3 linked regions of the Saccharomyces cerevisiae S288C genome follow. Changing the gene in region 1 together with any one later gene gives a genetic interaction. Each region holds a gene or a part of one and is shown in the gene's direction. Other genes may lie near its edges.

What was found. Genes that interact genetically often act in the same process or in processes that back each other up.
Region 2: mutations in MSH4 (region 1) and FRD1 together harm fitness more than expected from each alone (negative genetic interaction), as found in Saccharomyces cerevisiae (2 studies listed by BioGRID).
Region 3: mutations in MSH4 (region 1) and PMA1 together harm fitness more than expected from each alone (negative genetic interaction), as found in Saccharomyces cerevisiae (2 studies listed by BioGRID).

The regions. Positions count from the first base shown.
Region 1 is NC_001138.5:133,140-139,479, reverse strand, and holds MSH4 (MutS family protein MSH4), read left to right. Parts: upstream 1-2,322; coding exon 2,323-4,959; downstream 4,960-6,340. Other genes in the region: YFL002W-B (gag protein), read right to left, coding at 1-1,276; VTC2 (vacuolar transporter chaperone), read right to left, coding at 5,184-6,340. UniProt on the Saccharomyces cerevisiae protein: Involved in meiotic recombination. Facilitate crossovers between homologs during meiosis.
Region 2 is NC_001137.3:64,885-69,277, reverse strand, and holds FRD1 (fumarate reductase), read left to right. Parts: upstream 1-2,480; coding exon 2,481-3,893; downstream 3,894-4,393. Other genes in the region: threonine aldolase GLY1, read left to right, coding at 486-1,649; TCA17 (Tca17p), read left to right, coding at 4,111-4,393. UniProt on the Saccharomyces cerevisiae protein: Irreversibly catalyzes the reduction of fumarate to succinate. Together with the second isozyme of soluble fumarate reductase (OSM1), essential for anaerobic growth. Involved in maintaining redox balance.
Region 3 is NC_001139.9:479,410-485,365, reverse strand, and holds PMA1 (H(+)-exporting P2-type ATPase PMA1), read left to right. Parts: upstream 1-2,699; coding exon 2,700-5,456; downstream 5,457-5,956. Other genes in the region: BRP1 (Brp1p), read right to left, coding at 1,729-2,106; YGL007C-A (uncharacterized protein), read left to right, coding at 2,339-2,425. UniProt on the Saccharomyces cerevisiae protein: The plasma membrane ATPase of plants and fungi is a hydrogen ion pump. The proton gradient it generates drives the active transport of nutrients by H(+)-symport. The resulting external acidification and/or internal alkinization may mediate growth responses.

The DNA.
Region 1 (6,340 bases):
CATCGCTTAAGTATTGTGATGAAACGGTTGATTCATTAATGTGATCATTGTTCACCCTTGAGAATTTACTAGATGTAGCAATATTGTGAGCTTTTGCTGCTCTTGGTTTTGAACTATTTGTTCTATGATAATTACGAGTTGTAACCTTTGTGTTAGTCGTGTTTGGAGATGTGCGAGAAACATTTTTGTATTCGCTGTGTTGTTTGTATTGGGACGGTTTATTTAGATTCATGATTTTATTTTCGTCATATATTAACTGAATTTCAGCGAATAATTGGGAAAGTTTCATGTTCGTTTTGGTACGATATTGATTACGTAGGTATTTGAAGTCACCGGATAGACCTTTAAGTATTAGTTGACAGGCCAATCTGTCGCTAACATTGATATTGTTTTCTTTTAGCCTCTGAATGATCGTACTGACTGTAATTTCAAATGTATCAGCAGATGTACTTCCGTCGTACTCAAGGTTGGCAAGAGCTATCCAATCCTTTAATTCTTGATTGTTAGTTTGCATTTTGGACACACTTTTACAAAGGACTGTAAGGATGTCAGCATAATTAATTTCTAAAATTTGTTTTACCCATGTTGGCAATAAATGAAATGGGGCAAATGCTTGGAAGGTATTGTATATATACGCATGTTCTTCATAAGTCATTTGACTTTTGATTTCACCCTGGTCATTTGGAATGATGTCACCGAGATTAGAGTTCTTCAAAAATCTGATGTAAAATTTAACCCATGTAGAAAAGTTTTCTTCTGATGTTAAAGTGTGTGGTGGTAAGACGTTATTTCTCACCTTTGTCTCAGCTTGAGGTACTTCAGAGTGTTGATTCTGTGAATCGATTGGATCAGGTGAGGAAGTACTCAGTGGTGGGATATACTGTGGCAACGGATAGTGTGGGTCCGGTTGATAATACGCAGGTGACGTTTGATAATGTGAACACGTCATCATAGACGGTTGTTGGTAATGTGCCCAGTTAGAGGCCATAGCTTTGTTTGGGGTCATCATGCCGTGCTGTTGGTACTGTCCATTCTGTGGAGGTGGTACTGAAGCAGGTTGAGGAGAGACATGATGATGGTTCTCTGGAACAGCTGATGTCCCAGGTGTTGTCTCTTGTTGAGAATTAACCTTAGTGGAATCTCTATCAAATTCCGGTAAATTGGAAGCTGAAACGGCTAACGGATCTTGATTTGATGGGACTTCCTTAGAAGTAACCGAAGCATAGGCGCTACCATGTAGAGAATGTGGATTTTGATGTAATTGTTGGGATTCCATTTTTGATAAGGCAATAATATTAGGTATGTAGATATACTAGAAGTTCTCCTCGAGGATTTAGGAATCCATAAAAGGGAATCTGCAATTCTACACAATTCTATAAATATTATTATCATCATTTTATATGTTAATATTCATTGATCCTATTACATTATCAATCCTTGCGTTTCAGCTTCCACTAATTTAGATGACTATTTCTCATCATTTGCGTCATCTTCTAACACCGTATATGATAATATACTAGTAACGTAAATACTAGTTAGTAGATGATAGTTGATTTTTATTCCAACATATACAGAATATGCTAGAAGTTCTCCTCGAGGATTTAGGAATTCTCAAAATGGAATCCATATTTCTACATACTAATGTTAGACTATTCCGTTTTATATGTTTCATTATCCTATTACATTATCAATCCTTGCATTTCAGCTTCTTCTAACTTCGATGACAGCTTCTCATAACTTATGTCATCATCTAACACTGTATATGATAATATATTGAATAACTATTAGTTGATAGATGATAGTGGATTTTTATTCCAGAGGTTTGCGATGCCTTTGAGAAATCAGGATTGTTTTGGTATGGGATGACATTGTTTTACGTAGTCTATTCCGTTTTAAGAGTTGCAGAACTCAAAAGTGACTGACTCCATGGCCAAGTTGGTTAAGGCGTGCGACTGTTAATCGCAAGATCGTGAGTTCAACCCTCACTGGGGTCGTTTTTTTATTCAAAATCAGTTTCTAAGATTTAGATTTTATTGTATCATATCTTTTTCCATACTGAAATCGATTAAAGTTTTTATGTGTTGCATCTGTATGAGAGCAAAATCTTATTTAGTCTCCTCTTTTCTGCTATGAACCAGTTTATTATTTTTTTTTAATTCGCGTCTTCATTTCCTTTTCAAATCCCGAACGTACAGCTTTCATACATATAAGGCATCAACGAAGAATAGCAAAAGAGCAGTTGGATTTTACTTAAAGTGAAACATATAAAAATAACTAGTTATAGCATTGAAATCTGTAGCTGATCAACGCAAACTATATGCAATGAGTGAATCTAATCTATCTAGTTTTATCAGTACAAATTATTTCAATTTAAGGTCGGCGGCTAATTCTTCAAACTCTATTTCGAAGCCAAGTACGAAAAAGAGTATCAGGAACCAAAAATCGCCAACTAACATAAGTAGTTGGGCTCTCAAAAAGAAAACGCTACAAATAGCAGAGACAACATGGGAAAACAATGAAAAAGATTCAACACATAGCCATTACTTAATGACTGGATCAATGGCCTCTAGGACCGCAACCTCCTTAAGTCGATACAGCACCAACGCTTCACTCCTCGGTCCTAGTATTGACTGTGTTCTTTGTTGCATATACGAAGTGCCAAGAGACATAAGTACGCGGATTGGGTTATGTATTATCAACTGTAACACGGGACAGATGTATCTTTCAGATTTCATGGATTCACAAATTTACATTCGTGTAGTTCATAAACTCCAAATTTACCAACCTACGGAAATACTGATTCCAAGCAGTTCTCTAGCTCCAACAGTATCAAAATTAGCGACAATGATAAAATTTAATGTGGCCGAGACAGTTAAAATTGAAGAGGGTTCACGAAAGTGCTTCAATAGCCAAGATGGACTGGCGGCGATTACAAAGTATTTAATGGATGATACAAAAAAGGACTTGAAAATCGAGGAGATTATAGATAAAACGTTTGCTCTTTGTGCTGCATCTGCTGCGATAAGCTACATGGAAGAGATTATATCCAAAAGCAGCCGAAATTTGAATGCGTTTCGAAAACTACGTATACAGTTTGAAGGAACAGAAAATACAATGCTGATTGATTCTAAAACCGTCAGAGGTTTAGAACTTGTAGAAAATAAATTGGATAAGAATGGCATATCACTATGGAAGTTCTTGGATACCACGTCCACTAAAATGGGACAAAGATCACTTCGGAACAGTATACTGCAGCCATTAACTGATAGGGGCAGTATCGAAATGAGACTAGAGGCCCTAGAAGAATTGAAAGCCAATGATGACCTTCTACAAAAATTAAGGCTAGAAATGAAATCATTGCCTGATCTAGATAAGTTATTTTCAAGGTTATTATGCATTAATCATTCTGCAATAAAACCTGACCAAAGAATTAATTACGTTTTGTTGCTAAAGGAAACTTTACAAAGCGTGAAGTCATTGAAAGACGCACTTAATGATCAGTTAATTCAAAGCCGTTTAATTAGCGAGACCAAAAAAATATTCAATAATGACGCAATTATGGAAATTGAAAAATTAATTAATAGTTGTATAAATGAAGACTGTGTCTGGGCATCCTCAGCTATACAACTACTTAACCAACGTTCATATGCTGTGAAAAGTGATTCCAATGGGCTTTTGGATGTTTCTAGACAAATCTACAAAGAGGTAAAAGAGGAATTTTTTCGTGAGGTAGAAGATCTTACCGCTAAAAACAAAATCAATTTAGATCATAATTACGATTCTGCACGAGGCTTTTATCTCAGAATAAAAAGACAGGAATTTACCGATGACGTCGCTACACTTCCAGACGTATTCATTTCAAGAACAATAAAAAAAAATTATATTGAATGTACAACCCTAAATATAATAAAAAAAAATGCGAGGTTGAAGGAAGTTATGGAAGAGATTTTACTTTTAAGTGAAGAGACAGTTGATGAACTGCTCGATAAAATTGCAACCCATATTTCTGAACTATTTATGATTGCAGAAGCAGTGGCTATCCTGGATTTGGTTTGTTCATTCACATATAATTTGAAAGAAAATAATTACACAATACCGATTTTTACAAACAATCTACTAATTCGAGATTCAAGACACCCACTACTTGAAAAGGTACTAAAAAATTTTGTCCCTAACACCATATCAAGTACAAAACATAGCTCCAGCTTACAAATCATAACCGGATGCAACATGAGTGGAAAATCTGTTTATTTAAAACAAGTTGCCCTTATTTGCATAATGGCCCAAATGGGATCAGGTATACCGGCACTTTATGGGTCTTTTCCTGTCTTTAAACGTCTACATGCAAGAGTCTGCAATGACAGTATGGAATTAACCTCATCAAATTTTGGTTTTGAAATGAAAGAAATGGCTTACTTTTTAGATGACATAAATACAGAAACACTGTTAATTTTAGATGAACTTGGTCGTGGTTCAAGCATCGCTGATGGGTTTTGTGTGTCTTTGGCAGTAACTGAACATTTACTTCGAACGGAGGCAACGGTATTTCTTTCTACACACTTCCAGGACATTCCTAAAATAATGTCTAAGAAGCCAGCAGTTTCCCATCTTCATATGGATGCAGTCCTTCTCAATGACAATTCTGTCAAAATGAATTATCAGTTGACCCAGAAATCTGTCGCAATAGAGAATAGTGGAATAAGGGTGGTAAAAAAAATATTCAACCCGGATATTATTGCAGAAGCGTACAATATCCATTCGCTTTTGAAAATTGCAAAAGCAAGGACTGAAAACGAAGATTCAAATGGCGTTGTTGATCAAAAGACCATAAACCAAATGAAGAGAATACACAATCTTGTAGCGATATTGAAAGAATGTGCAGGAAATGAAAAAGAGCCCTTGACTTTAGGGAAATTAAAAGAAATAAACTCCGACTTCATCGAAAATTTTGAAGAATAATTTGGCTTTTCCGCTTAGCTTAAAACTATAATCCATTATTTCTGTACAGAGTTATCAAAAACCGGAGAAAATGATGTTTATGTAAATGCATTGATATTTATGAATGATTTAAAACTTCCCCTTAAATGTGATTTCTAAAAGTAAGCAATTGTTAGCAGATGATAATTTTTTGCTACACATTACAAACATAAAAACACATGGTCTCAGTAGATAGAGTACATATTCTAATCACTGCTTGGCCCCATTAACTTGAATAGATAATTTTGAAGTGGCCTTAATACTTCTGGTATTCTTTCAGGAACTTCTAAATTCTGTATTTGCAACTCTTGACGAGACTTTGCTGCATTTCTAAACGCCATAACAAAATTAACCACTAAAGTGACAAATAAAACTATAGAAACCAAAACTGGACCAAGTGGTGCATCTAGATGTTGACCGCTTCTTTGTTGAATAATATCAACTCTTTTCATATAAATGGAATAGGACCATAAAGCACAGAATATCGTTAGACCAAAATATACGTATGCCATGTAGTTAGCCAAAGTGGGGTATTCGGCTTTCTTCACAGAATTATAAATTGAGAACGTCAAAACACTCAATAAACTGGTGACACTTAACCATCTGTTAAATGTACGTTCGTTGGCAAGCCAAACCTTTGCCTCCACGTTTACAGGACCAGCATTTTTTAACAAATTTAATGGTTTTTTCACACCAGGTGGCAATTCAATTTCTTCTTCTTCAGAATCCACCCCCATTAACTTTGGATCTCTACCGGCCAAAATTCTCAAGAAAGTGGCCTTGGGTTTTCTTCTCCGAACTTTCTTTGATCTTTTCGAATGAGGTTCTTGCTCAGTTTCCTCATCGGATGAACCGTCTGCCTCCAAATCACCTTGAGAGGTAATACGCTCATTTTCCTCTTGAGATACCGGTACTGCTGCTTGATGTTGAGGCTCTTTTAAGTTGGAAAGCCTTCTCATTCCATCAATTTTCTTTTGTATCTCTTTTTGTTTCAACAGTTTTTTCTTTTCCTCCTCATATGCTTGCTTAGGATCCTGTCTAATATCTGTTTCCAAATCTGGTAACCAAAATGGTAAGATATCTAATTTTTCATCATCTCCATACAATGATGCCACACCTTGCACAAAGATAGAAAACTTTGGAATTTCTTTGACCAAATGAGAATTTGTCAAATCGTTCAGCCATTGACCATGCTTTTTAGGCAGTTTTACATTAGAAATCATAGAACTGGCAGACATCGAAGAATCTAATGAACTTTTCACTTTAATTTCCATTACTGAATAAGGAAACTTAGCATACTCGCCTCCTCTCAGGAATTTCAAGGGATTTGCAACATTGGCATCAATATCAGTTCTATGCCAGG
Region 2 (4,393 bases), on another chromosome or scaffold:
GCTTGGCCCGCTATGAAATGTCACGCGAAACGGACCCTTGCCTTTTTGGCGACGGCACTTCCCCTATCTGGAAAAAGCCGAGCATGCACCCGTACCCCACAAAGCTTCGCTTCCGGTTTCCGGGCAGCAGCGCCGTTTCTTTTTTCCCGCTGCTTCGCCCTTTGTATTACTCATTGCGCACTTTTTCACTTGCCATATTCGTTCACCGGTTTTTCTTTTTATTTCTTCGTCTTTTTTCGTCTTTTTCTTCACTGGATATACGCTTTTTGCATTTGCAATAGCACATATGTGTATATATATAAGCAAGTGTTGAGCTTGCCTGTCAAATCCTCCATGTGTCCTTCTCGTCTATCTTGTTCTGTCTGGTATAGAGTAATACTTACATACATATACGTACATTGTTTCCGCTGGCTAGTTCGTAACCACCTCCTTTCCTAGGCTTACACTCACTTTTACTCCCGCACACAAACGCAAACATAAACACAATGACTGAATTCGAATTGCCTCCAAAATATATCACCGCTGCTAACGACTTGCGGTCAGACACATTCACCACTCCAACTGCAGAGATGATGGAGGCCGCTTTAGAGGCCTCTATCGGTGACGCTGTCTACGGTGAAGATGTTGACACCGTTAGGCTCGAACAGACCGTTGCCCGCATGGCTGGCAAAGAAGCAGGTTTGTTCTGTGTCTCTGGGACTTTGTCCAACCAGATTGCCATCAGAACTCACTTGATGCAACCTCCATACTCTATTCTATGTGATTACAGGGCTCACGTTTACACTCACGAAGCCGCTGGACTGGCGATCTTGTCTCAAGCGATGGTGGTTCCTGTGGTTCCTTCCAACGGTGACTACTTGACCTTGGAAGACATCAAGTCACACTACGTCCCAGACGACGGTGATATTCACGGTGCCCCCACCAGATTGATTTCTCTGGAAAACACTTTACACGGTATTGTTTATCCATTGGAAGAACTGGTCCGCATCAAAGCTTGGTGTATGGAAAATGGTCTCAAACTACATTGTGACGGTGCCAGAATCTGGAATGCCGCTGCACAATCTGGCGTGCCATTAAAGCAATATGGGGAAATCTTCGACTCCATCTCCATCTGTCTATCCAAGTCTATGGGTGCTCCTATTGGGTCCGTCTTGGTTGGGAACCTTAAGTTTGTCAAGAAGGCCACCCATTTCAGAAAACAACAAGGTGGTGGTATTAGACAATCTGGTATGATGGCTAGAATGGCTCTTGTAAACATCAACAACGATTGGAAGTCCCAATTGCTGTACTCGCACTCTTTGGCTCATGAATTAGCCGAATATTGTGAGGCAAAGGGCATCCCGCTAGAGTCTCCAGCAGACACCAACTTTGTCTTTATTAACCTGAAGGCCGCTAGAATGGACCCAGATGTCCTTGTTAAGAAGGGTTTGAAGTACAACGTTAAGCTAATGGGTGGTAGAGTCTCGTTCCACTATCAAGTCACCAGAGATACTTTGGAAAAAGTCAAATTGGCCATCTCCGAGGCCTTCGACTATGCTAAAGAACATCCTTTCGACTGTAACGGACCTACCCAGATTTACCGTAGTGAATCCACCGAGGTCGACGTTGATGGCAACGCTATCCGCGAAATAAAAACCTACAAATACTGATGCGTTCCAGTTGCATCATGTGTATTGTTAGGGTTTTTGTTTTAGGATTGCTACCCTCTTCCTTTTTTTCATACATTACAATAATTTCGTGGCATTGTAGATTTAACGGCTTTCTTTTGCATCAATGATTTTTATATTCAAATGGGTTTTTTCTTTTTTCTGTTTTGTTATTCAAGGATATTTCAACTCTCACACCATAATTATAACTAATTATGTCGGCACATTTGAGAACCAATGGTTAGTTTCCAGCGCACCTAGCGACTAACTACCCTATTATGGAGGGACGAAGGTGGTCTTTCTGAGGGAAGGAGGAAAAAAAGGTAAGAACCTCTTTTCTTTGTTCCCCATTGAGAGATCGACTGAATATGTTTGGTTTTTTTGGTACTTGATTAAAGTTTACAACGGTACGTATCCACGTGGAGAAGCACATTTCTTTGTATTCTACGATACTACGTATTAAGATTGAATGTACCCATGTATATTCTCGCAGGGTTTCTTCACAGGATTTCGACGTACACCTTTTATACAAATATATATATATATTTATATGTATGCGTAAGAGTCTAAAAAACGTTCACTTTAATTCCTTTTTTGCTTTTACTACTATTGTCTTTCTTCTTTCATTTGTCATCATGCAGTGAATGACTGAAACAATAGAGACAGGTATGAAAAAGAAAATTTTTTTCTTTTCAAACGGTAACGGGGGCAACGCGTCGCGTTCCTGAACAGCTTAATCTATTGCACGTATAAAAGCTGAGAACAATACGCTGACATAGCACCCCATTTTTTTTTCTTATCTTCACTTCAACAACCCCTCATCCGTAATTGTAAATGTCTCTCTCTCCCGTTGTTGTTATTGGAACCGGTTTGGCCGGGCTGGCTGCTGCCAATGAATTGGTTAACAAGTATAACATCCCTGTAACCATCCTCGAAAAGGCTTCCTCGATCGGTGGGAACTCTATCAAGGCCTCCAGTGGTATTAACGGTGCTTGCACCGAGACTCAACGTCACTTCCACATCGAGGACTCCCCACGCTTATTTGAAGATGACACCATCAAGTCTGCTAAAGGTAAAGGTGTCCAAGAATTAATGGCTAAGTTGGCCAATGATTCTCCCCTGGCTATTGAATGGTTGAAAAACGAATTTGATTTGAAATTGGACCTATTGGCTCAATTGGGTGGCCACTCTGTGGCAAGAACTCACAGATCGTCTGGGAAGTTGCCTCCAGGTTTCGAAATTGTTTCTGCCTTATCTAACAATTTGAAGAAATTAGCTGAGACTAAACCAGAGTTAGTTAAGATTAACTTAGACAGTAAAGTCGTAGACATCCATGAAAAGGATGGCTCCATTTCTGCTGTAGTGTACGAGGACAAGAATGGCGAAAAGCACATGGTGAGTGCTAACGATGTCGTTTTTTGTTCTGGAGGGTTTGGCTTTTCTAAGGAAATGCTTAAAGAATACGCACCCGAACTGGTGAACTTGCCAACAACAAACGGGCAACAAACAACTGGTGATGGTCAAAGGCTTCTGCAGAAGTTAGGCGCTGATCTGATTGACATGGACCAAATTCAAGTTCATCCAACTGGGTTCATTGATCCAAATGACCGTAGCTCAAGCTGGAAATTCTTGGCTGCCGAATCCTTAAGAGGTCTTGGTGGTATCCTATTAAACCCTATTACCGGTAGAAGATTTGTCAACGAATTGACCACAAGAGATGTAGTCACTGCAGCTATTCAAAAGGTTTGTCCTCAAGAGGATAACAGAGCACTATTGGTTATGGGCGAAAAAATGTACACAGATTTGAAGAATAATTTAGATTTTTACATGTTCAAGAAACTTGTACAGAAATTGACATTATCTCAAGTTGTTTCTGAATATAATTTACCAATCACTGTCGCCCAATTATGCGAGGAATTGCAAACATACTCTTCCTTCACTACCAAGGCTGATCCGTTGGGACGTACCGTTATTCTCAACGAATTTGGCTCTGACGTTACTCCAGAAACTGTGGTTTTTATTGGTGAAGTAACACCGGTTGTCCATTTCACCATGGGTGGTGCTAGAATCAATGTCAAGGCTCAAGTCATTGGCAAGAACGACGAAAGGCTACTAAAAGGCCTGTACGCGGCCGGTGAAGTTTCTGGCGGTGTTCATGGCGCCAATAGGTTGGGTGGTTCAAGTTTGTTAGAATGCGTTGTCTTTGGGAGAACCGCAGCTGAATCTATTGCCAATGACCGCAAGTAACGAATTTTATAAATGAATCATTTCTAAACGATTTTTTAATAGTATATAAGTAGTATTAATATTATTATTATTTTTTTTTTTTTTTTTTTTTCACTTTCGAAGTTCTGCCGGAAGAGCTCATCGACGGCCAAGAAACATTTTACATAAAAGTTATTGAGTTGAAAATTGAGTAAATATTCTCTCCAAAAATCAAATTGTACGTTTATATCACCAAACTATGAGCTTGAGGCCTTGCTTCGTATCATTGATAGATGAATCTGATAAACCTATATTGATTTACGTCCCTAATGAGGCGGAGAATGAGATGAATGATGTACTCAAATATAACGTGCTTTCTAACATATCGTTAGATTATTTTGAAAGTGCTTTGGTTGAATGGCATTCTTTAGATTCCAAACCTCTTCTGAAGTCAATTTTTCAATTGGAAGGTGTCTCTGTATTTGCTATGTTGATTAAGCAGACGGGCCTGAAGATTGTCATTGGATTTGAACAAAAAAGCC
Region 3 (5,956 bases), on another chromosome or scaffold:
CCCTGACAAATGATGGAGAAGCTTCTTTGCCGGGTAAAAACCCTTTTTTTTTATCTTTTCTGCGGGCGGATAAAGCTGTTAGTGCCACATGTTTCTATACAAACTGTATTAAAGTAAAAAAATTAATAGACAATTTAGGCCCCTCAAATGGGTAAAATAGAACATATATCAGTATGCACAGCTCACTATTTTAAAAGCGGCAGGCTTGGAGCTGTAGGACCACACTACTGCGACAAAAAAAGATAAAGTTGTGTTTTATTTATGTTTTGCCGTAAGATCGATACTTTTCTTATTCTCATCAAGAAAACACAAACTGCCAAGAACTAAGAAAAGAAGAGCCGTAAACAATGCTTGTAAACCGAAGTATGAAAAGAAAAACTTGATAATTAAATCATCCCCTTTGGCTCAAATATTTATTTTGTATTATTCATGCTTGATTAGTTTAAGAGTGAACTTTACTATCTTAATTTTATTTTAGCCTTTTCAGCTTATGGCACAATAGTGAAAACAAGATCATGTTAAGTTCTGTACCAGAAGAGAGAACCGATAAATAGTTTAATAAGCAGATCAATGCCAAGAATAAGATAAAACAACTATGGAGACTGATGTAAATATACTTGAAGCCGGGCAATAATATAAGCACCGTGAGCCGATTCTCCTCGATCCTACACTGCACCATATAACGAATGGTCTTGGACTATGGAAGGCAGTAACCAACAACAGAAAAGAGAGATTAATTAGAAAAAGACATTTCTCGAGAGAAAAAAAGTAAAGACCTTATCGTACAACTGTTACTGACATTTTTATTTTAAGAAGCTAAACCCTTATTATTAGCGCGCCCAAGTAGGCGCAAAACTAGAGAAGTCGCAGATGCATCCACCCACTTTTTGCCTTATTTTTCCTTAATTTCAGAAATATAGTTAAAATGAAAAACAAGGACAAGAAAAGAACGGGAAAAAGAAAAGGGGGATTAGCAAACAAAGAAAAGTCCAATAAAATGATTACAGACAGCATTGGATGCGATGAGATGGCAACCAGCGAGATGAGAGCATAGGATTTTCATCCTAGCTGCTTTAGGGAAGACGCACAAAACTTTGTTATGTTTGTAGTAAATATAGAAAAGAAAACAAAAAAGTGCTCGGACGAATCCGGTAGAGCTGTGTCTAGCCTCAATAAGTTTGCCGCATTTGGTAAATCAAAACTGTTTTTCTCTCCGTCATTTGTTTTGAAGCTTGTTCTGTTAGTTTAGGGAAATAGAAAAAAAAAAAAAGGGAAAAAGAAAGAAATCATATGCCCAATGGAGTACGAGAATTGGGGAAAAAGCCTCCATCGGGTTTTTAAACGGGCGTATACATGCTTACCACACTCCCGTAAGCAAGAACAAAGAATTTATCTTGATAAACTGCGTAATAAGTCAATCAATTGCTCTATATACGCGCATATACGTAAAACACAGAATCACATTTTAGTCAGGCCCAAGCCGTATAGGGCGAAAAAGCCCGCGCTTATCAAGTCATCGTAACGAATCAGATCTTTCCAACTGCTATCGCATACGTAAGAGAATTGAAATATTTCTCGGGTACGATACGACATTTTTTCTTTACATTTCTTTACTAAACCCGACGGCACGGGAAAGAAGATGAGACTCGGAACGGAAGCTAGAAGAAAAAGGAAGGACACAGAGATTTTCCGAGATTAACTCAGCTTTGCTAAAGTGCAAAAAGTCGTTTACGTCACCATCGCTGACGGGGAAAAAACAAAACAAGCTTCCTGAAACGGAGAAACATAAACAGGCATTGCTGGGATCACCCATACATCACTCTGTTTTGCCTGACCTTTTCCGGTAATTTGAAAACAAACCCGGTCTCGAAGCGGAGATCCGGCGATAATTACCGCAGAAATAAACCCATACACGAGACGTAGAACCAGCCGCACATGGCCGGAGAAACTCCTGCGAGAATTTCGTAAACTCGCGCGCATTGCATCTGTATTTCCTAATGCGGCACTTCCAGGCCTCGAGACCTCTGACATGCTTTTGACAGGAATAGACATTTTCAGAATGTTATCCATATGCCTTTCGGGTTTTTTTCCTTCCTTTTCCATCATGAAAAATCTCTCGAGACCGTTTATCCATTGCTTTTTTGTTGTCTTTTTCCCTCGTTCACAGAAAGTCTGAAGAAGCTATAGTAGAACTATGAGCTTTTTTTGTTTCTGTTTTCCTTTTTTTTTTTTTTACCTCTGTGGAAATTGTTACTCTCACACTCTTTAGTTCGTTTGTTTGTTTTGTTTATTCCAATTATGACCGGTGACGAAACGTGGTCGATGGTGGGTACCGCTTATGCTCCCCTCCATTAGTTTCGATTATATAAAAAGGCCAAATATTGTATTATTTTCAAATGTCCTATCATTATCGTCTAACATCTAATTTCTCTTAAATTTTTTCTCTTTCTTTCCTATAACACCAATAGTGAAAATCTTTTTTTCTTCTATATCTACAAAAACTTTTTTTTTCTATCAACCTCGTTGATAAATTTTTTCTTTAACAATCGTTAATAATTAATTAATTGGAAAATAACCATTTTTTCTCTCTTTTATACACACATTCAAAAGAAAGAAAAAAAATATACCCCAGCTAGTTAAAGAAAATCATTGAAAAGAATAAGAAGATAAGAAAGATTTAATTATCAAACAATATCAATATGACTGATACATCATCCTCTTCATCATCCTCTTCAGCATCTTCTGTTTCAGCTCATCAGCCAACTCAAGAAAAGCCTGCTAAGACTTACGATGACGCTGCATCTGAATCTTCTGACGATGACGATATCGATGCTTTAATCGAAGAACTACAATCTAATCACGGTGTCGACGACGAAGACAGTGATAACGATGGTCCAGTTGCCGCCGGTGAAGCTAGACCAGTTCCAGAAGAATATTTACAAACTGACCCATCTTACGGTTTAACTTCCGATGAAGTTTTGAAAAGAAGAAAGAAGTACGGTTTGAATCAAATGGCTGACGAAAAAGAATCTTTAGTCGTTAAGTTCGTTATGTTTTTCGTCGGTCCAATTCAATTCGTTATGGAAGCCGCTGCTATTTTGGCTGCCGGTTTGTCCGATTGGGTCGATTTCGGTGTTATCTGTGGTTTGTTAATGTTAAACGCTGGTGTTGGTTTCGTTCAAGAATTCCAAGCTGGTTCTATTGTCGATGAATTGAAAAAGACTTTGGCTAACACTGCTGTTGTTATCAGAGACGGTCAATTGGTTGAAATTCCAGCCAACGAAGTCGTCCCAGGTGATATTTTGCAATTGGAAGATGGTACTGTTATCCCAACTGATGGTCGTATTGTCACTGAAGACTGTTTCTTGCAAATCGATCAATCTGCTATTACTGGTGAATCTTTGGCTGTCGACAAACATTACGGTGACCAAACTTTCTCTTCTTCCACTGTTAAGAGAGGTGAAGGTTTCATGGTTGTTACCGCTACCGGTGACAACACTTTCGTTGGTAGAGCTGCTGCTTTGGTTAACAAAGCCGCTGGTGGTCAAGGTCATTTCACTGAAGTTTTGAACGGTATTGGTATTATCTTATTGGTTTTGGTCATTGCCACTTTGTTGTTGGTCTGGACTGCTTGTTTCTACAGAACCAACGGTATTGTTAGAATCTTGAGATACACTCTAGGTATTACTATTATTGGTGTCCCAGTCGGTTTGCCAGCTGTCGTTACCACCACTATGGCCGTCGGTGCTGCTTACTTGGCTAAGAAACAAGCCATTGTTCAAAAGTTGTCTGCTATTGAATCCTTGGCTGGTGTCGAAATCTTGTGTTCCGACAAAACCGGTACTTTGACCAAGAACAAGTTGTCCTTGCACGAACCATACACTGTTGAAGGTGTTTCTCCAGACGACTTGATGTTGACTGCTTGTTTGGCTGCTTCCAGAAAGAAGAAGGGTTTGGATGCTATTGATAAGGCTTTCTTGAAGTCTTTGAAGCAATATCCAAAGGCTAAGGACGCTTTGACCAAGTACAAGGTTTTGGAATTCCATCCATTTGACCCTGTCTCCAAGAAGGTTACTGCCGTTGTCGAATCTCCAGAAGGTGAAAGAATTGTTTGTGTTAAGGGTGCTCCATTATTCGTCTTGAAGACTGTCGAAGAAGATCACCCAATCCCAGAAGATGTCCATGAAAACTACGAAAACAAGGTTGCTGAATTGGCTTCTAGAGGGTTCCGTGCTTTAGGTGTTGCTAGAAAGAGAGGTGAAGGTCACTGGGAAATCTTGGGTGTTATGCCATGTATGGATCCACCAAGAGACGATACTGCTCAAACTGTTAGCGAAGCTAGACACTTGGGTCTAAGAGTTAAGATGTTAACTGGTGATGCTGTTGGTATTGCTAAGGAAACTTGTAGACAATTGGGTTTGGGTACCAACATTTACAACGCTGAAAGATTAGGTCTAGGTGGCGGTGGTGACATGCCAGGTTCTGAATTAGCTGATTTTGTTGAAAATGCCGATGGTTTCGCTGAAGTTTTCCCACAACATAAATACAGAGTTGTTGAAATCTTGCAAAACAGAGGTTACTTGGTTGCTATGACTGGTGATGGTGTTAACGATGCTCCATCTTTGAAGAAGGCTGATACTGGTATTGCTGTCGAAGGTGCTACTGATGCTGCCAGATCTGCTGCTGATATTGTTTTCTTGGCTCCTGGTCTATCTGCTATTATTGATGCTTTGAAGACCTCCAGACAAATTTTTCACAGAATGTACTCTTACGTTGTTTACCGTATTGCTTTGTCTCTACATTTGGAAATCTTCTTGGGTCTATGGATTGCTATTTTGGATAACTCTTTGGACATTGATTTGATTGTTTTCATCGCTATTTTCGCTGATGTTGCTACTTTGGCTATTGCTTACGATAATGCTCCTTACTCTCCAAAGCCCGTTAAATGGAACCTACCAAGATTATGGGGTATGTCTATTATTTTGGGCATAGTTTTAGCTATAGGTTCTTGGATTACCTTGACTACTATGTTCTTACCAAAGGGTGGTATTATCCAAAACTTCGGTGCTATGAACGGTATTATGTTCTTGCAAATTTCCTTGACTGAAAACTGGTTGATTTTCATTACCAGAGCTGCTGGTCCATTCTGGTCTTCTATCCCATCCTGGCAATTGGCTGGTGCCGTCTTCGCTGTCGACATCATCGCTACCATGTTTACCTTATTCGGTTGGTGGTCTGAAAACTGGACTGATATTGTTACTGTCGTCCGTGTCTGGATCTGGTCTATCGGTATCTTCTGTGTTTTGGGTGGTTTCTACTACGAAATGTCCACTTCTGAAGCCTTTGACAGATTGATGAACGGTAAGCCAATGAAGGAAAAGAAGTCTACCAGAAGTGTCGAAGACTTCATGGCTGCTATGCAAAGAGTCTCTACTCAACACGAAAAGGAAACCTAATCCTGTTGAAGTAGCATTTAATCATAATTTTTGTCACATTTTAATCAACTTGATTTTTCTGGTTTAATTTTTCTAATTTTAATTTTAATTTTTTTATCAATGGGAACTGATACACTAAAAAGAATTAGGAGCCAACAAGAATAAGCCGCTTATTTCCTACTAGAGTTTGCTTAAAATTTCATCTCGAATTGTCATTCTAATATTTTATCCACACACACACCTTAAAATTTTTAGATTAAATGGCATCAACTCTTAGCTTCACACACACACACACACCGAAGCTGGTTGTTTTATTTGATTTGATATAATTGGTTTCTCTGGATGGTACTTTTTCTTTCTTGGTTATTTCCTATTTTAAAATATGAAACGCACACAAGTCATAATTATTCTAATAGAGCACAATTCACAACACGCACATTTCAACTTTAATATTTTTTTAGAAACACTTTATTTAGTCTAATTCTTAATTTTTAATATATATAATGCACACACACTAATTT